Linked DNA regions of Macaca fascicularis. The protein of the gene in region 1 interacts with the protein of each later gene in a pairwise test. Links are inferred from orthologs where the notes say so. Each region holds a gene or a part of one and is shown in the gene's direction. Other genes may lie near its edges.

Evidence for each region.
Region 2: the proteins of CREB3 (region 1) and PTDSS1 interact in a two-hybrid assay, tested with the Homo sapiens proteins (2 studies listed by BioGRID and IntAct). The two-hybrid records come from large-scale screens. The link is inferred for Macaca fascicularis from reciprocal best matches to the Homo sapiens genes CREB3 and PTDSS1.
Region 3: the proteins of CREB3 (region 1) and P4HA2 interact in a two-hybrid assay, tested with the Homo sapiens proteins (2 studies listed by BioGRID and IntAct). The two-hybrid records come from large-scale screens. The link is inferred for Macaca fascicularis from reciprocal best matches to the Homo sapiens genes CREB3 and P4HA2.

What each region holds. Positions count from the first base shown.
Region 1 is NC_088389.1:63,664,912-63,670,226, reverse strand, and holds the start of CREB3 (cyclic AMP-responsive element-binding protein 3), read left to right. Parts: upstream 1-2,173; 5' UTR 2,174-2,373; coding exon 2,374-2,502; intron 2,503-2,595; coding exon 2,596-2,746; intron 2,747-2,817; coding exon 2,818-2,885; intron 2,886-2,999; coding exon 3,000-3,089; intron 3,090-4,723; coding exon 4,724-4,830; intron 4,831-4,920; coding exon 4,921-4,989; intron 4,990-5,315. UniProt on the Homo sapiens protein: Endoplasmic reticulum (ER)-bound sequence-specific transcription factor that directly binds DNA and activates transcription. Plays a role in the unfolded protein response (UPR), promoting cell survival versus ER stress-induced apoptotic cell death.
Region 2 is NC_088382.1:105,966,102-105,970,736, forward strand, and holds part of PTDSS1 (phosphatidylserine synthase 1), read left to right. Parts: intron 1-3,041; coding exon 3,042-3,200; intron 3,201-4,635. UniProt on the Homo sapiens protein: Catalyzes a base-exchange reaction in which the polar head group of phosphatidylethanolamine (PE) or phosphatidylcholine (PC) is replaced by L-serine. Catalyzes mainly the conversion of phosphatidylcholine.
Region 3 is NC_088380.1:138,743,361-138,747,995, reverse strand, and holds part of P4HA2 (prolyl 4-hydroxylase subunit alpha-2), read left to right. Parts: intron 1-28; coding exon 29-125; intron 126-529; coding exon 530-681; intron 682-3,830; coding exon 3,831-3,968; intron 3,969-4,635. UniProt on the Homo sapiens protein: Catalyzes the post-translational formation of 4-hydroxyproline in -Xaa-Pro-Gly- sequences in collagens and other proteins.

The sequences.
Region 1 (5,315 bases):
TCTCGTTTCCTCTTTTCTGTTGGGGAGTGGGGGAAGGGGATCTACAAATGGTCCAAGAAATTAAAAGAGGCTTAGATCTAGGGGGTGGCACACAGCAGGGGCTGGGAGTAGGGTATTCAGCTGATGACCAGGTGGAATGTAGGTACATGACTGGGTGAAAATGGTAGGAGAGTAATTTAAAATGATGGGAAAGCTCAGGTTATGATGAGGCTAAATTCAGGTAGGATGTGCGGATTAAGGGTTGGTGAGGGAGGTAGAACTGAGGATGGGAACGGATGATAAGATGAGCATGGGACAGTTAAAGGCAAGGGAAGTATTTTGTAAGGGGATAGTCAGGATGGATGTGAAATGCAGAGTCAGGGATGAGAGTTGGAGAGGAGGCCTTAATACCTAGAGAACAAGTGAAGTGGGAGACAGCAAAGCTAAACTTTCAGGGGATTCAGTTATTCCCTTCTCCCGTGGCAACAGTGATTCCTTGGTCAGCTTCCCCCATAGTCAACAGCTCCTTCTTCCCTAGGCAGTCTCCAACTTGTGACTAGGCCTTGTACATCCTGGGTCCCTATTTCCCACCTATGTTGTATGTAAACAACATAGTCCAGAATCTCTGTCCCCTAACTGTGGTGGCCACAGCAAGGGCCTTAGGCTTAGAGAATGGAATAAAGATGCTGGAATCCCAGATGCCTGCAATAAGCCAGAACACTAGCCTGAAATTAGTTTGTTATCTCTCTGGGTGAAAAGAAGCCCCTGTAACTACACAGGAATAAAGGACTTCCCTACAAAAGAAGGGCATTTACCTACTGCCAACCTCTTAAATTTCATCTGCTCAAGGCCAACTATGCTAGCCTCAATTACAACCCCTAAAGTTGCCCCAAATTCCTAACATTAACCCCACCTCTAATTTGTTTCCTGATTCCCACTACCGGCTTGGACATTCATCCCTTTCCCAGCAGAGACTCATATCCAATCCCTGATCCCTGATACTGATCTAAGTTTTACCTTTAGCACCAAATCGCCTGATGTTAACCCTAAATGTTGACCCCTAAGCCTAAAGTTCATTTGTAACTTGATTCCTAACTCACACTTTCACTGTTTATCCTTAATACCGACCATGTCAACATTCTTTAATCCCTCAAACAGGCTCTAACCTGATTCCTGTTGTTGACCCTTAACCCGACCCTGAACTCAAATTATGACGTATGATGGCCATCCCAGCAAACAAAATAATGACCTTAATCTAAACCTTACCTACCTAAAACGGACCTGACTCACACTACTAACTCTTAAGTTTTAACCCCAGCTTTTAACTCCTATAGCGACCCTTGATTCCTAAACGGACCCCACCTAATCCCCAACTCACCCAAAGCTTTCCTACCCACATGGCCGCTATCAGCTAACACCAAAGCCCGTCCCCGTCCTGCGCCCCGCTGCCACCCGACTCCTCACGCTCCCCAAAGCCTATCCCAGGCAGAGGACTGCCCCCAGGAGAGGCCTGTCTCCCCTAAGACGGCCTACTTCACGATGAGCCCAAGTTGAGATGCGCTGGACGCTGACCTCTCCAACTAACAGAACCCGAACCGGACACGCAGGAGAGGCAGGGCCCCGCCCGCCCCCGGGGCCAGGCTCCGCGGCCCCACCCTAAGGCCCCCGCCCGGCCCGGTCTGGCCTACCTGCGCTGCCCGGCTCTGCGCCCCGCCTGCCGGCCCGCCGGCCCGCTGCCCTGCCGCTTCTCGGGTCGCCCTCGGGCTCCGGCCTCGCCCTCCCTTCGACACTCTCTCGGCCACTTCCGTCCTGGGAACGTCCCCCACCCGCGGGCGGCGCCCTGGGGCAGCGCTCTATGGTCGCGGGGGGCAGGCAGGAAGCTGCTCTGGCCGCGTTCTCGATGCTCGGGGGCCGCCAAAGGCCGGCAGCCCCTCCCTGGCAGGAAGCGAGGGTGCGGCGCAATCCGGAGAGAACGCCAAGACGACGCCCGAGTTCCCTTTCAGGCCAGAACTCTTCCTTTTTCTAGCTTGGGGGAGAAGGCGGAGCCGGAGCCCTGGAACCCCCGCCCTCGGGGTGCGAGGCGGCAGCAGGGCCGTCCCCTACATTTGCATAGCCCCTGGGACGTGGCGCGGCACCCAGGCCTCTTCTCAGTTGGAGGGAACTCCAAGTCCCACAGTGCCACGGGGTGGGGTGCGTCACTTTCGCTGCGTTGGAGGCTGAGGAGAATTGAGCCTGGGAGGCGGGTCCGGAGAGGGCTACGGAAAGCCCCCGGCCGGGAAGCCCGGCCGTAGAGGGACAGTGGATAGGTGCCCGAGGCCTACAGCTGGCCTGGGGCTCGTGTCTGGGCTTCGGACGTTGGGGCCCGGTAGCCCACCCTTTCCGTAGTTGTCCCAAATGGAGCTGGAATTGGACGCTGGTGACCAAGACCTACTGGGCTTCCTGCTAGAGGAAAGTGGAGATTTGAGGACGGCGCCCGATGAGTCCGTGAGGGCCCCACTGGACTGGGAGCTGCCGCTTTCTGAGGTGCGTTGGGGTTCTGACTGGGGAAAGCGTGGGATGTCCATGAGGTCAGGGGATGGTGATAGGTCAAGGCCTGTTCACTGGAACCCTGCGCAGGTACCGAGCGACTGGGAGGTAGATGATTTGCTGAGCTCCCTGCTGAGTCCCCCAGCGTCGTCGTTGAACGTTCTCAGCAACTCCAACCCCTGCCTTGTCCACCATGACCACACCTACTCCCTCCCACGAGAACCTGTCTCTATGGATCTAGGTGAGTCTGAAATAAGTTTGCGGGGAGGACAGGGTTCATGGGCCTGGCTATTCATACGTTCCCTTTTGCAGAGAGTGAGAGCTGTAGAAAAGAGGGGACCCAGATGACTCCACAGCATATGGAGGAGCTGGCAGAGCAGGTACTTGACTTGATTTTCAGGAAGATTACTCTCACATTCCTCAGGTGGGGGCAGGATTCCCCATTCCTCTGTGACATCCCCATGCAACTGCCGCCCACTTTCTGGTTACCCTAGGATATTGTTAGGCTGGTACTGACAGATGAGGAGAAGAGTCTATTGGAGAAGGAGGGGCTTATTCTGCCTGAGACACTTCCTCTCACTAAGGTAAGACTCTCGTTAGTTGAGCAAAGGCTGAAAAGGGATTAAAAGTCTCAAGTAGGCCAATTCTGTTAACTTTATATCAATAACTTTAAAAAAGGATTGAGGTGAGAAACTTAGCAGATTTATTGCTAATAGGAAGTTGAGGCAGGTACCCAATATGCTAGATGCAAGGCAGATCCTCATTTTCGTTGGGCTTACACAAATTTTGGTGTTCTGTTAAAAAACAAACAAAAAAAAACCCTCAAAATTATCAGTGCAACATTAGTATTGGGCCTTGGAAAGGACTGTGTAAGTGAAGGGCCTTGACACTTCATTGGCTTCATAGTAATCCACCTCTTGCTGAATGGTAGAACTGTTTAGAGAGTTCAACACGATTGGACTAAGCAGTACATGAATAAATGCAAAATCCTTAGTTTCCAGTTTTAAGCAATCAGTGGCAACTTCACAAGCAGAGTACTGGGATACTATGATGAAATCAGTGCTCATTAATAGAAAGGTTCCAGGAATTTTTTTTTTTTTTTTTGACAAGGTCTTGTTCTGTTGCACAGGCTGGAGTGCAGTGATGTGATCATGGCACACTGCAGCCTTGAATTTCTGGGCTTAGGTGATTCTCCCACCTCAGCCTCCTGAGTAGCTGAGACTACAGGTGCACACCACCCTGCCCGGCAAATTTTTTTTTTGGTGTTTTTAGTAGAGATGGGGTTTTGCCTTGTTGCCAGGCTGGTCTTGAACGCCTGTGCTCAAGTGATCTACCCACCTTGGCCTCCAAAAGTAAAGAATTTTAATTCCTTCAAAGTACAAGATGAGTCAGCAGTGCGATGTGGCTACTAGGAAAGTTAATGGGATTTGGAAACTGTAGCAAGAGTTATTGTCTCCACAAGTCACTATCTTGCTTTCCTTTATACTGGCTAGAGCACATCTTTGACAGATACTAAGAAGATGCAGTCTATCCTAAGAAGATGAGTTAAAATTTTTGTCTAAGCTGTTTTTTTCTTGAACTTTTTTTCTCTGAGGAAATGTCAAATGCCTGAAAATAGCTTAACAGGGTTCATTCTATTTGGCCCCAGAGATACTAGGTAAGTCCAACGTATAGAAATTATAAGGAGACAGCTGTTGGTTCAGGATAAGGAAGTTTTTGTTTGAAGACAGATTCTTGCTTTACTGCCCAGGTTGGAGAATAGTGGTGAGATCATGGCTCACTACAGCTTTGACCTCTCAGGCTCAAGCGATTGTCCTTCCTCAGCCTCCTGAGGAGCAGGGACCACAGGCATGTGCCACCACACCCGGCTAATTTATTTTTAGTAGAGACAAGGTCTCACTGTGTTGCTCAGGCTGGTCTCAAACTCCTGGGCTCAAGCGGTCCTCCTGCCTTAGCTCCCCAAAGTGTTGGGATTACAGGCATGAGCCATGTCACTTGAATATTGCCTGACCAATTTTTTTTTTTAATAGTTTAAAATGGTCTGGCTTGTTAGGGTTAACACGTGCTCCGTGGAGGCATTCAGAAAGAATGTGAATGCCTATTGGTCAGGGAAGCTGTAGAAGGGATTTCTGTATTGGAAAGAGATGGATCTCAGTTGCCTTTCAACTTCTTGTTCTAGAGTCCCTCTAATGATACCCCTTTCCCTGTTTCCTTTCAGATGGAGGAACAAATTCTGAAACGTGTGCGGAGGAAGATTCGAAATAAAAGATCTGCTCAAGAGAGCCGCAGGAAAAAGAAGGTGTATGTTGGGGGTTTAGAGAGCAGGTATGAAAGGGAGAGGGACTCAGTTTTAAGTGTTAGGTTTTTGAAGGGAGGACACAGGCCATATCCCCATATCTTTGTTATTTCCCCCAGGGTCTTGAAATACACAGCCCAGAATATGGAGCTTCAGAACAAAGTACAGCTTCTGGAGGAACAGAATTTGTAAGTATCCCTCCAAACCATTCCCTTCCTACGCTCCTCATTTAATGTTTTCTCACTCTTTCCCCTGCCCTACACTTGATTTCTAACAGGGTGGCTGCCTTCACTAGGTCTCTGATTCTAAGAAGCTCACAGTAGTGGGGAATATATTTATAAGTAACTGAGAATAAGCTAAGTACCTAGAAAAAGAAAGGGGGTAAGAAAGACCTCATGGGCTTTCATAGGATTCTGGGGTTGGGTTGGGAAAGCATTCTAGGCAGAGAGAAAGCATCCTAGGCAAGAGGATTAGCCCAGCATAGTCCTCTTGGGCTGGAACACATGTGAGCTGG
Region 2 (4,635 bases), on another chromosome or scaffold:
GTGGGCGGATCACAAGGTCAGGAGTTTGAGACCAGCCTGGTGTTTGAGACCATGTTTGAGACCAACATGGTGAAACCCTGTCTCTACTAAAAATACAAAAATTAGCCAGGTGTGGTGGCATGCGCCTGTAATCCCAGCTACTCCGGAGGCTGAGACAGGGGAATCATTTGAACCCGGAAGGCGGAGGTTGCAGTGAGCTGAGATTGCGCCACTGCACTACAGCCTAGGCAACAGGGTGAGACTCTGTCTCAAAAAAAAAAAGAAAAAGAAACCTTACGTTGAAAGTGCTACACATTGTAATATATTGAAATAGTCACCCTAATTCTCAAAACAATACAGTGTGAAAAAGGCATGTCATAGATTCAAGGAAGCACAATCGTTACAAAGGGGACAGCCTGTGCAGAGGCCCTGATTGGGGGTGTGGGGAGCTGGGACCAGTCTGGTACAGAAGGAGTGTAGGGATCAAAAGGCAGAGGGCCCTGCCTGAGGCTAAGGAGGCGGCCAGGGCTGAGCCAGCTGGGATGAGGAGTTTGGGTTATTCTAAATGTACGAAAAGGCCATGGAAGGTTTATAAGCAGAGGAGCTACATGACCTGTGTTGATGTTTTAGGAGGTCAATCAATAATACCTCCATTTCTAGTGGAGTTTGGAAACAGAAACAAGAGTTCAAAATCTCAGCTGATTTCTTCCTGTAAAAGCTCAGTGGAGCAGATAGCTTTAGACCTGGGCTGAATTAAGCAAGCCTGTCTTCCCCTCGCCCATTAGACAACCACAAGCTTCTTCTACAAAGCAGGGCCTGACCCATAAAAGTTGCTGCATGGCTGGGGGAGCTGATGAGAACCTGTGCTGTCTGTAGGCAGGTAATTTCCAAAGAGGACCCAAAAGAGGTTGGATCTCTTTCTTCTTCCAAAGTCAGCAACTGCCCCAGAGAGGAGTGAACAGATAGTTGGGCTGGAGACCCGGTGTGTGCAGTAGTGGAGATCCTTCTGCACTGGGACGGGCATGCTACCCAACCCCTTTCTCCCCGCCCTCCTGCCCCAGACACCTTTACACACATGCATGCACATTCCATGATCTGATGATGATTTTCAAGATCTCTCTGTAGTCTGAAGCTGGATGTGAATGCCCAGGTGCTTATTATAGCATCGTCTATACTTTGTTATATGCCTGACACATTCCACAGTTTTCGAAAGCTGTTATTACGGAAGTCTAAGCAAGAAATAATAGTGGCAGTGAGATGGATAAAAGAACAACCTGGGGAGGTAAAATGAATAGGACTTGGTATTTGGTTAGGTGTCCAGCAAGCGAGGCAGAGGGTAGGGTTGCCAAGATCAGCCTAGGAGCAGTTGGGAGTCAGCAGAATCTGTCTTTACCCATATTTTGCTCACAGACATTGTCCACTTGACCCCCTTTCCAGGCTTCAGCTCTCCGCTGTCTTCGGTTAAAGCCTGTGCCTCCTGGTTCCCAGGGTTCTGCCTGCACGCAGCTCTCTGGCTGCTTTAAACGGCAGTGCCCTGTGGCCCTTCCGGGACCAGGACCTCAAGTCTTATGAAGGGGTAACTGGTAAATCTGTTCATTACTAACTATACTGCAAATAGATGGATTGGTCTTTATGATTTTTAAAGTGCCTTCCCACATGTCAAAGCGTAGAAATACTTAATAGAGTATAAAGGCCTCCAGAGTTATCTGCAAGCTGTGATTACTTTAAGAGTAGCCTTCTAAAAACAGATCTTATCCCTTCCTTATCTAACTCTACACAGTGTATTCCAGAGTAAAGAAGAGGGTGGGGTGGTTGAGACATTTGAGTTGATGGGACGTGGCCGTGCTCCTTAACCTAATATATAACCTGCTTCAGCCTAAGGGCATTTCCCTCTGTCAGCCTGCGATTCTCTGTGACAAGAAGGTGCTGTTCCAGAGTCCGGGAAGAGACTTCATCTTATTGCAGGGCAGTTTGTTTTTTTTTTTTAAGCCTTATCTTGACTCATCCGTATTGAATTTTATCCTCCTTTCTCCAGATTTCCCATTTACACAGCATAATCTCACATCATACTAGTGCTCAAAAAATAGAATTCTTAAAAATGTTTGTTCAGCTTTGCAAGTTGAAACGCATTTTATCTGAGAAGGAAATCTGATGTGTGGTGGGTTTCAGAAGAGACAGGGAAGCTCTTTTGCTCTCAGGAAGTATTTCTGGAATTTAAAACTATTATAGTTTATAGGAATTTTTTTCAGCTGGCTGATAATAGGGGGTGAATATTTGCCAACTCTTACTACTGCCTATCAAATTAATTTTGGGAAGAAAGGATGTGAAATGTAGAGATTCCCGATAAATGTTATCATATTGTCATGCAGTCATATGATAAGATATTAAATTACTTAGAAATATGTATAATCAAAAACAAAGATACTAGAAATGGAACCAAAATTCTTAAAAGCTTTGTAATTTTTAATATTTAAATTATGTAGTATCTGATATATTTTGGGGGAGGGGAGTTCTCTGTTCTTTTAATTACTGAAGTTGGGTGCTTTTCTTCTTTTTTCTAGCGTAACTATTTAAGGCTTTACATTTTCCTCTAAAGTTCAATTTTTACATGGTATATTTTCATTATCATTATGGCACATTAAAAAATTATATTATGATTTCTTCTTTAATCCATGATATTTAGAAATGTGTGTTTAAATTTCCAAATCTATTGGGAATCTTGTATTTGTGCTTTAGTTACTGGCTTTAATATTGTTGCCCTGTGGTCAGATGACATGATCTATGTCATACCACCTCTTTAGGATATGTTGAGCCTTTGTAAAATTATTTTGCTTCTCATTTTAATGCAGCTTTTGCAATTCACAGCAAAGCAGTTTTGATTTATAAACTCAAATACTTGTCCATTTTCCCTCAAGACCCTTAAGTTATTAAAACTTTCTCTTTTTTTTACTGAGCAGGACTTATTAGTTGTCAAGGTCATATCTGTTCTCTTCATTTACCGGTGGAATCCTAGAAGCAAGTTGATTTCTAGAGTTTCACTAATTATTCACTTTTTAAAATAGGAGTATGCTGTGAACTGCCATGTGATCACCTGGGAGAGGATTATCAGCCACTTTGATATATTTGCATTTGGACATTTCTGGGGCTGGGCCATGAAGGCCTTGCTGATCCGTAGTTACGGTCTCTGCTGGACAATCAGTATTACCTGGGAGCTGACTGAGGTAAGAAGGAGGGCATTGGGGGTTCCCCAGACTGTGCCGTGTGTGTAGGTTTTATATATAGGAAAAAGTATGTCCGTTAATAGTTAATCCATTCTCCAGCCCCTGTGGTACAAAATATATTTAAACCATCCCATAAGAATATTTTATACTTCTGTTTAAAAAACAAGCAAATATTTAAAAAAACCTCCTTGTTAACTTAATAAAGTATACCTTGGTCCTGCAAGTGTTAAAGAGAAACAAATGAAATAAAGCTAAAGAATGAAGTTAAAATTCCAAGTAAGACAAATAAATGGGAATGAGGAGATCTGCTTAGAATTCAATAGATCAGTTGACCTACTAACTAGCTTCCAATTTGAGATAATAGAATTTTGTGTTCAAGTACTATAAGAGCATCCAGGGTATTTGGTAGCTGCAAAATGGATTCTAAATGTTAGCTCTAATATGTCAGTAATCAAAAGTTTGTTGCATTTCCTTAATAAAAGAATTATAGTCTTGAAAAACTATTAGCAAAATGAAATTTTGGGAACTACCTCTTTATTGTTCTATTATTCTTAATCATTCCCAGTGAACAGCATTTGGCCACATGCACAGTATACTTCTCCATGCTCATCATTGTCCTGACCCTAACTTAGAGACGTGTGCCAGCTAGATGTGGCTTCCGTTAATGTGCCTCTCACTGTTCTGGAGGCCAGAAGTCCAAGATCAAGGCATTGGCAGGACTGGTTCCCCCTGGGGCCTTTTGGAGCATTTGTTCCAGGCTCCTCCTCTATCTTTGTGGTTTGCTGGCAGTCGTGGTCCCTGGGCTTGTTGATGCATGGCCCCTTCGTGGTCACGTGGCGTTCTCCCTGTGCATGTCTGAGGCTTCATGGTGTTCTTTTTTTGTTTTCTTTTTTGAGATGGAGTCTCGCTCTGTCGCCCAGGCTGGAGTGCAGTGGCGCGATCTCAGCTCACTGCAACCTCCGCCTCCCGGAGGGTTCAAGTGACCCCTGCCTCAGCCTCCCAATAGCTGGGACTACAGGTGTGCGCCACTACACCCAGCTAATTTTTTGTATTTTTAGTAGAGATGGGGTTTCACCATGTTAGCCAGGATGGTCTCAATCTCCTGTCCTCATGATCTGCCTGCCTCAGCCTCCCAAAGTGCTGGGATTACAGGCGTGAGCCACCGTGTCCAGTCCCATGTGTTTTTCATAAGGACACACGAGCATTCCCTTTTATAAGGATACAGGTCACATTGGATTAGCAGCTCACTGTACTCCCTATGACCTCATCTTGACAAAGTACCTCTCCAATGACTCTATCTCCAAATAAGCTCAAATTCTGAGGTATTGGAGGTTAGGGCTTCAACACTGGAATTTTGAGAGGACACAACTCAACCGATCCATAATAGTGCCCAACACTTTACATATGCCTTCTAAGTCCTCACGACAAACCAGGA
Region 3 (4,635 bases), on another chromosome or scaffold:
ACTGTTGCCTTTCTTCTCTCTCTTGCAGGGCACATGACTGACCTGATTTATGCAGAAAAAGAGCTGGTGCAGTCTCTGAAGGAGTACATCCTTGTGGAGGAAGCCAAGCTTTCCAAGATTAAGAGGTGTCCTAAGTCCCCATACCACCCTTAGTTGGCCCTCCTTCCCTTCTGCCCCCCAAGGAACAAGGAAGCCACTCAGGGTACCTATTAGAGGAAGCCCTTGAGAGGGTGATGTGGGGCTGGCCTGGTTACTTCATGTCAGTCCTTGAGAGGAGCTAAGTGCATGGGCTAAGGAGTCACCGTTTATTTTGTATTTAAGACCTTTTCCCTTAAATTGGGGGTCCCAGCTCTTATCTAGATTAAGGGGCTAGAAGTATCTGTGGGGAGTTACTGTATTCATTTTTCATTGCCTCTTGATGAGAAGGGCCCTAGCACCTGGCACCAGGGAATTCTCACCAGAGAAATTATCACAGGTCAAGACCTATGTGGGTGGACGCATTACTCTTCCTTTTCCTCTGGTTCCACAGCTGGGCCAACAAAATGGAAGCCTTGACTAGCAAGTCAGCTGCTGACGCTGAGGGCTACCTGGCCCACCCTGTGAATGCCTACAAACTGGTGAAGCGGCTAAACACAGACTGGCCTGCGCTAGAGGACCTTGTCCTGCAGGACTCAGCTGCAGGTGAGGGATGGTGAGCAGGTGCTTGAGTGAGCCCATATGTTCGTGTGCTCATGCCTGGGCTGTTGTGTCTGAGCCTGTCTTGGGTCTGGGTGTTGGTGGGCAAGTGCATTATACAAACAGGACCCTGCTGGTCTCATGGCTCTCTCCCTTCTCTGTGGGGACCTGGAAGTTGGCTGTCCTTGGTTTTTAACGTCTAATGATGGTTAGTTCTTTTTTTAGCGTCCTTTTTTTAGTGTCTGTCTTTTCTTATTTTTTGCTAATGACATTTTTCCGATTATACTTTAGTGATACATGTTTATAGAAAAGTTGGAAAACACAAAAACAAGAGAATTATAATTCTTAATCCAATTGCCCAGTGGTGAGCATTATTAAAATTATAGTTTTTCTACCTATGCATATACATTAAAAAAATGGAACTATACATACATACCAGGGCATGCAAACTCAGTTGCTTGAAGGGACAAATGAATTTACAAGTGTCAAGTGGGCTGGATGGTGGGACCAGGGCAAGTTGGGGAGCATAGGTCTCATCTAAATTCATTCCTATTCATATCTTTTACAAACAAAGTGTATCTGATGGTAGATTTGTGACAGAAGAAAAAATTCTTTCTGAATTTCACCATGTTGGCCAGGTGAGCTTCTTTATATGCTATTCAGTGTTCCTCTGCAACGTGGTTTTAATGTCTGGATAGTGATTACCTATCAGATGGTGATAATCTGTCATAATACTGTCAAATGGATCAAGTAATTGGATATGGGATTTTTTTTTGAATTATCAGCACCTTTTTACATATTTCTTGGTGTATACTTCTGATTTTTTTTAAGGGTAAATTCTTAGAAGTCATATTTATAGGTCAGATTGTGAACTTTTTCAAAGCTTTAAACTATACTTGATGCTTTTGTTGTGATAATACTTTTTATGCCCTAATACTTTCCTGTCAATAAGAAGAGATGGTAGGGTGGGCCTGGAGGTGGGCTCTCCTAACTCCTAGCCCTGGGTTTAGTCCTCTGGACTCACTGCCTTTTTTTTTTTTTTTTTTGAGACAGAGTCTCACTCTGTCACCAGGTTGGAGTGCAGTGGCGTAATCTCGGCTCACTGCAACCTCCGCCTCCGGGTTCAAGCAATTCTCCTGCCTCAGCCTCCTGAGTAGCTGGGACTACAGGCACGTGCCACCAAGCCCAGCTAATTTTTTTTTGGTATTTTTAGTACAGACAGGGTTTCACCATGAGTTGGCCAGGATGTTCTCGATCTCTTGACCTCGTGATCCACCCATCTCAGCCTCCCAAAGTGCTAGGATTACAGGCGTGAGACACCATGCCCAGCTGCCTTTTTTTTTTTTTTTTTTTTAAAAGGGACAGAGTCTCACTGTATTAGCTCAGACTGGAGTGCAGTGGCTATTCACAGATGCGATCGTAGCACACTGCAGCCTTGAACTCCTGGCCTCACGTGATCCTCCTGCCTCAGCCTCTTGAGTAGCTGGGACTATAGGCACAGAGCCACTGTACCCAGCTCTTCACTGCCTCTTTTCCCTGAGTTGTGAGTAGTGATTAACTTCAGACTAGCTGTCTCTCTGGCTGAGACATTTTAGCCCATGTGGCCAGACTGGGTTGGGCTTGGGGGCAGGGTGGCCTCTGGAGAGGGATTGGTGAGCTCAGCCAGGCTGGAGCTGTGCCCAGTGAGCTCACTGCCTCCAGAAACCACGTCTGCCTTTCCCAGACTCCCGCCTCTCCGCCTGGGCCTGCAGCTTGGGACAGGCTGTTCTGCCTGCACGGCAGGAGACTAAGCCTACCCAGATGACCTCCCCTCTCCAATCTTGTTCTCCACACCCTACACTCACACCATCATCTGGTTCCTTTGGAAAACCTTATGATTACCTAGAAGGAGTTAGGTCAGGCCCAGAGAATAATTGGTTGTTTTCATCTCTGACTTTTGAGTTCTTGCCCCTGAAATGAATGGGGCATGCTGACAGTGTGGCTTTTCCTGGCAGCATGTTCCCCTACCCCCACCCCACCAGATTCTAAACTCTTTAGAGTCCCTGACCATGTAGCTATGAAGACAAGGAAGGCAGGGTTACAGCTTCTTGGTCCCTGTCCCCAGTTATAGCTGGAAGTGGATGTTTAGGTCTGAAGTCATAGGTGGCAGTGGATATAGCTGCTCTTGGGGAGAAGTTGGGGAAGGAATGGCCTTGTTCCCCTCTCATTTCTCAGCTTAGAGGCAGAATTGAAGGCCCTAAGTCACCCTGGGAAGGCTTGGCTCCCACCTGGAGCCCTGGGATTGTGGGAGGTACACATCTTACTTTACAGCTAGGGCTTGGAGTCCCAGAAAAGCCTCCTTGGAGTACTTCTGTGGTCAAAAGCTCTCCCAGGCTTCAGGCTGTGGTCTTGAGCACCATAACTGGAGAGCCCATGCCCTGAACTCATTGCAGGTCTGAGTGGTGGGAGTACAGAGGAGAATAGGCCCACCATGGTCTCTCAAGGGACTGACCTTGCTGGGCTGGTGCAGCCCCACCTTGGTCCTTGGCCTGTCTAGGTGGTCCCTCAGCTGTCAACCTAGGGGGAGGGGGATGACCTCCAGGACTTTCATCATCACCTTTCTGGATGATAAGTGCCAGTGGTCAGTAATGAGTGGCCAGCTCGGCTTCATTAGTTAACTGTCATTGTCCCTTGGACTCCTCAACTTGAAATGTGGGCTGGAAGTCTGTGTTTACCTGACTGGCCCAATTACCCTGGATCAAGGTTTTTGATGGGATTCATTTTCCACTGAGTGGTTGACAGTTCTTCCCTGAGTCCTCTCCTGTGCTCTTCTCAGTTACCCTCTCTATCCTCTGTTACTTCTGTCTCCACCAGCTCTGACTGAATGCTTTGGAGCCAAGACTTCTAGACTCCTAAATATTAACTAATATGGGGGGCTGTTTCTACTTAGTTCCAAAGAGCAGCACGGGCAGTAGGTACAGTGAGGACTAAGAAAGGAAAAGTCCCCATAGACTAGATCAGGGACAACTTCCTGGTGGAAGGGGCAACAGCCTTTGAGGGAAGGGGCGGGGAAATTTCACTAGCCAGAGACCCTCTCTGTGGCTGCCTCTCTGGTCCCAAGTGGAATTCTGCCCCTGGATCAAGGGTAATCTCTTGTTCTGACTCTCATTTGGAAGGTTTTATCGCCAACCTCTCTGTGCAGCGGCAGTTCTTCCCCACTGATGAGGATGAGATAGGAGCTGCCAAAGCCCTGATGAGACTTCAGGACACATACAGGCTGGACCCAGACACAATTTCCAGAGGGGAACTTCCAGGTAACTCACCACTCCAGGCGTTGCCTGTCCTGCATGTGTCTCTTTAGTGGCAGGACAGGTTGCAGCCACCACCGACTTGTGGCCTCTACCCTCAGGTGCACCTCTGGTGTACCTCTTCGCTCACCATTTTGTGTTGGACTCCCTCTCCCATGACAGGTTTCTCCCTCAGCCACTGCCCTGCCACCTCCTTCCATGTATTAGCCAAGGCCCTCTCCTCTCGTGTCTCAGAGAAAGCCAGAGTTGCTGCTCAGGAACCCCCTCTGCCTCTGTCTCCAGAGCACCGCACAGATCTGCATTCAGACCTGCTTCCTGTCTCCCACCCTCCAATGTCTTTTCATCTAAGACTGATCTGGGCTTAGTGTCCCCCTGTCCTGAGTCTTCTTAGTTACAGTCTCTGCTCCTATACATTCTGTCTCCACCTCTCCGGGTTCTACCCTTGAGCTCACATATAGGCTCTATTCTTGCTCATCTTACACTTGCCTCCCTCAGTATCTGAGACTCTTTTGAGTCTTTGCTGCTGATCCATCTCTTCTTCCATCCTGGTTAGGCTACTGGATAGAGTAATCTATACTCTATCCACTTTCCTGGTTCCCATATACTCCTGAACTCACAGTATCTGGCCTTTTTCCCCCCTGTTCACTGATCCTATTCTTGCAAGGTCATCAGT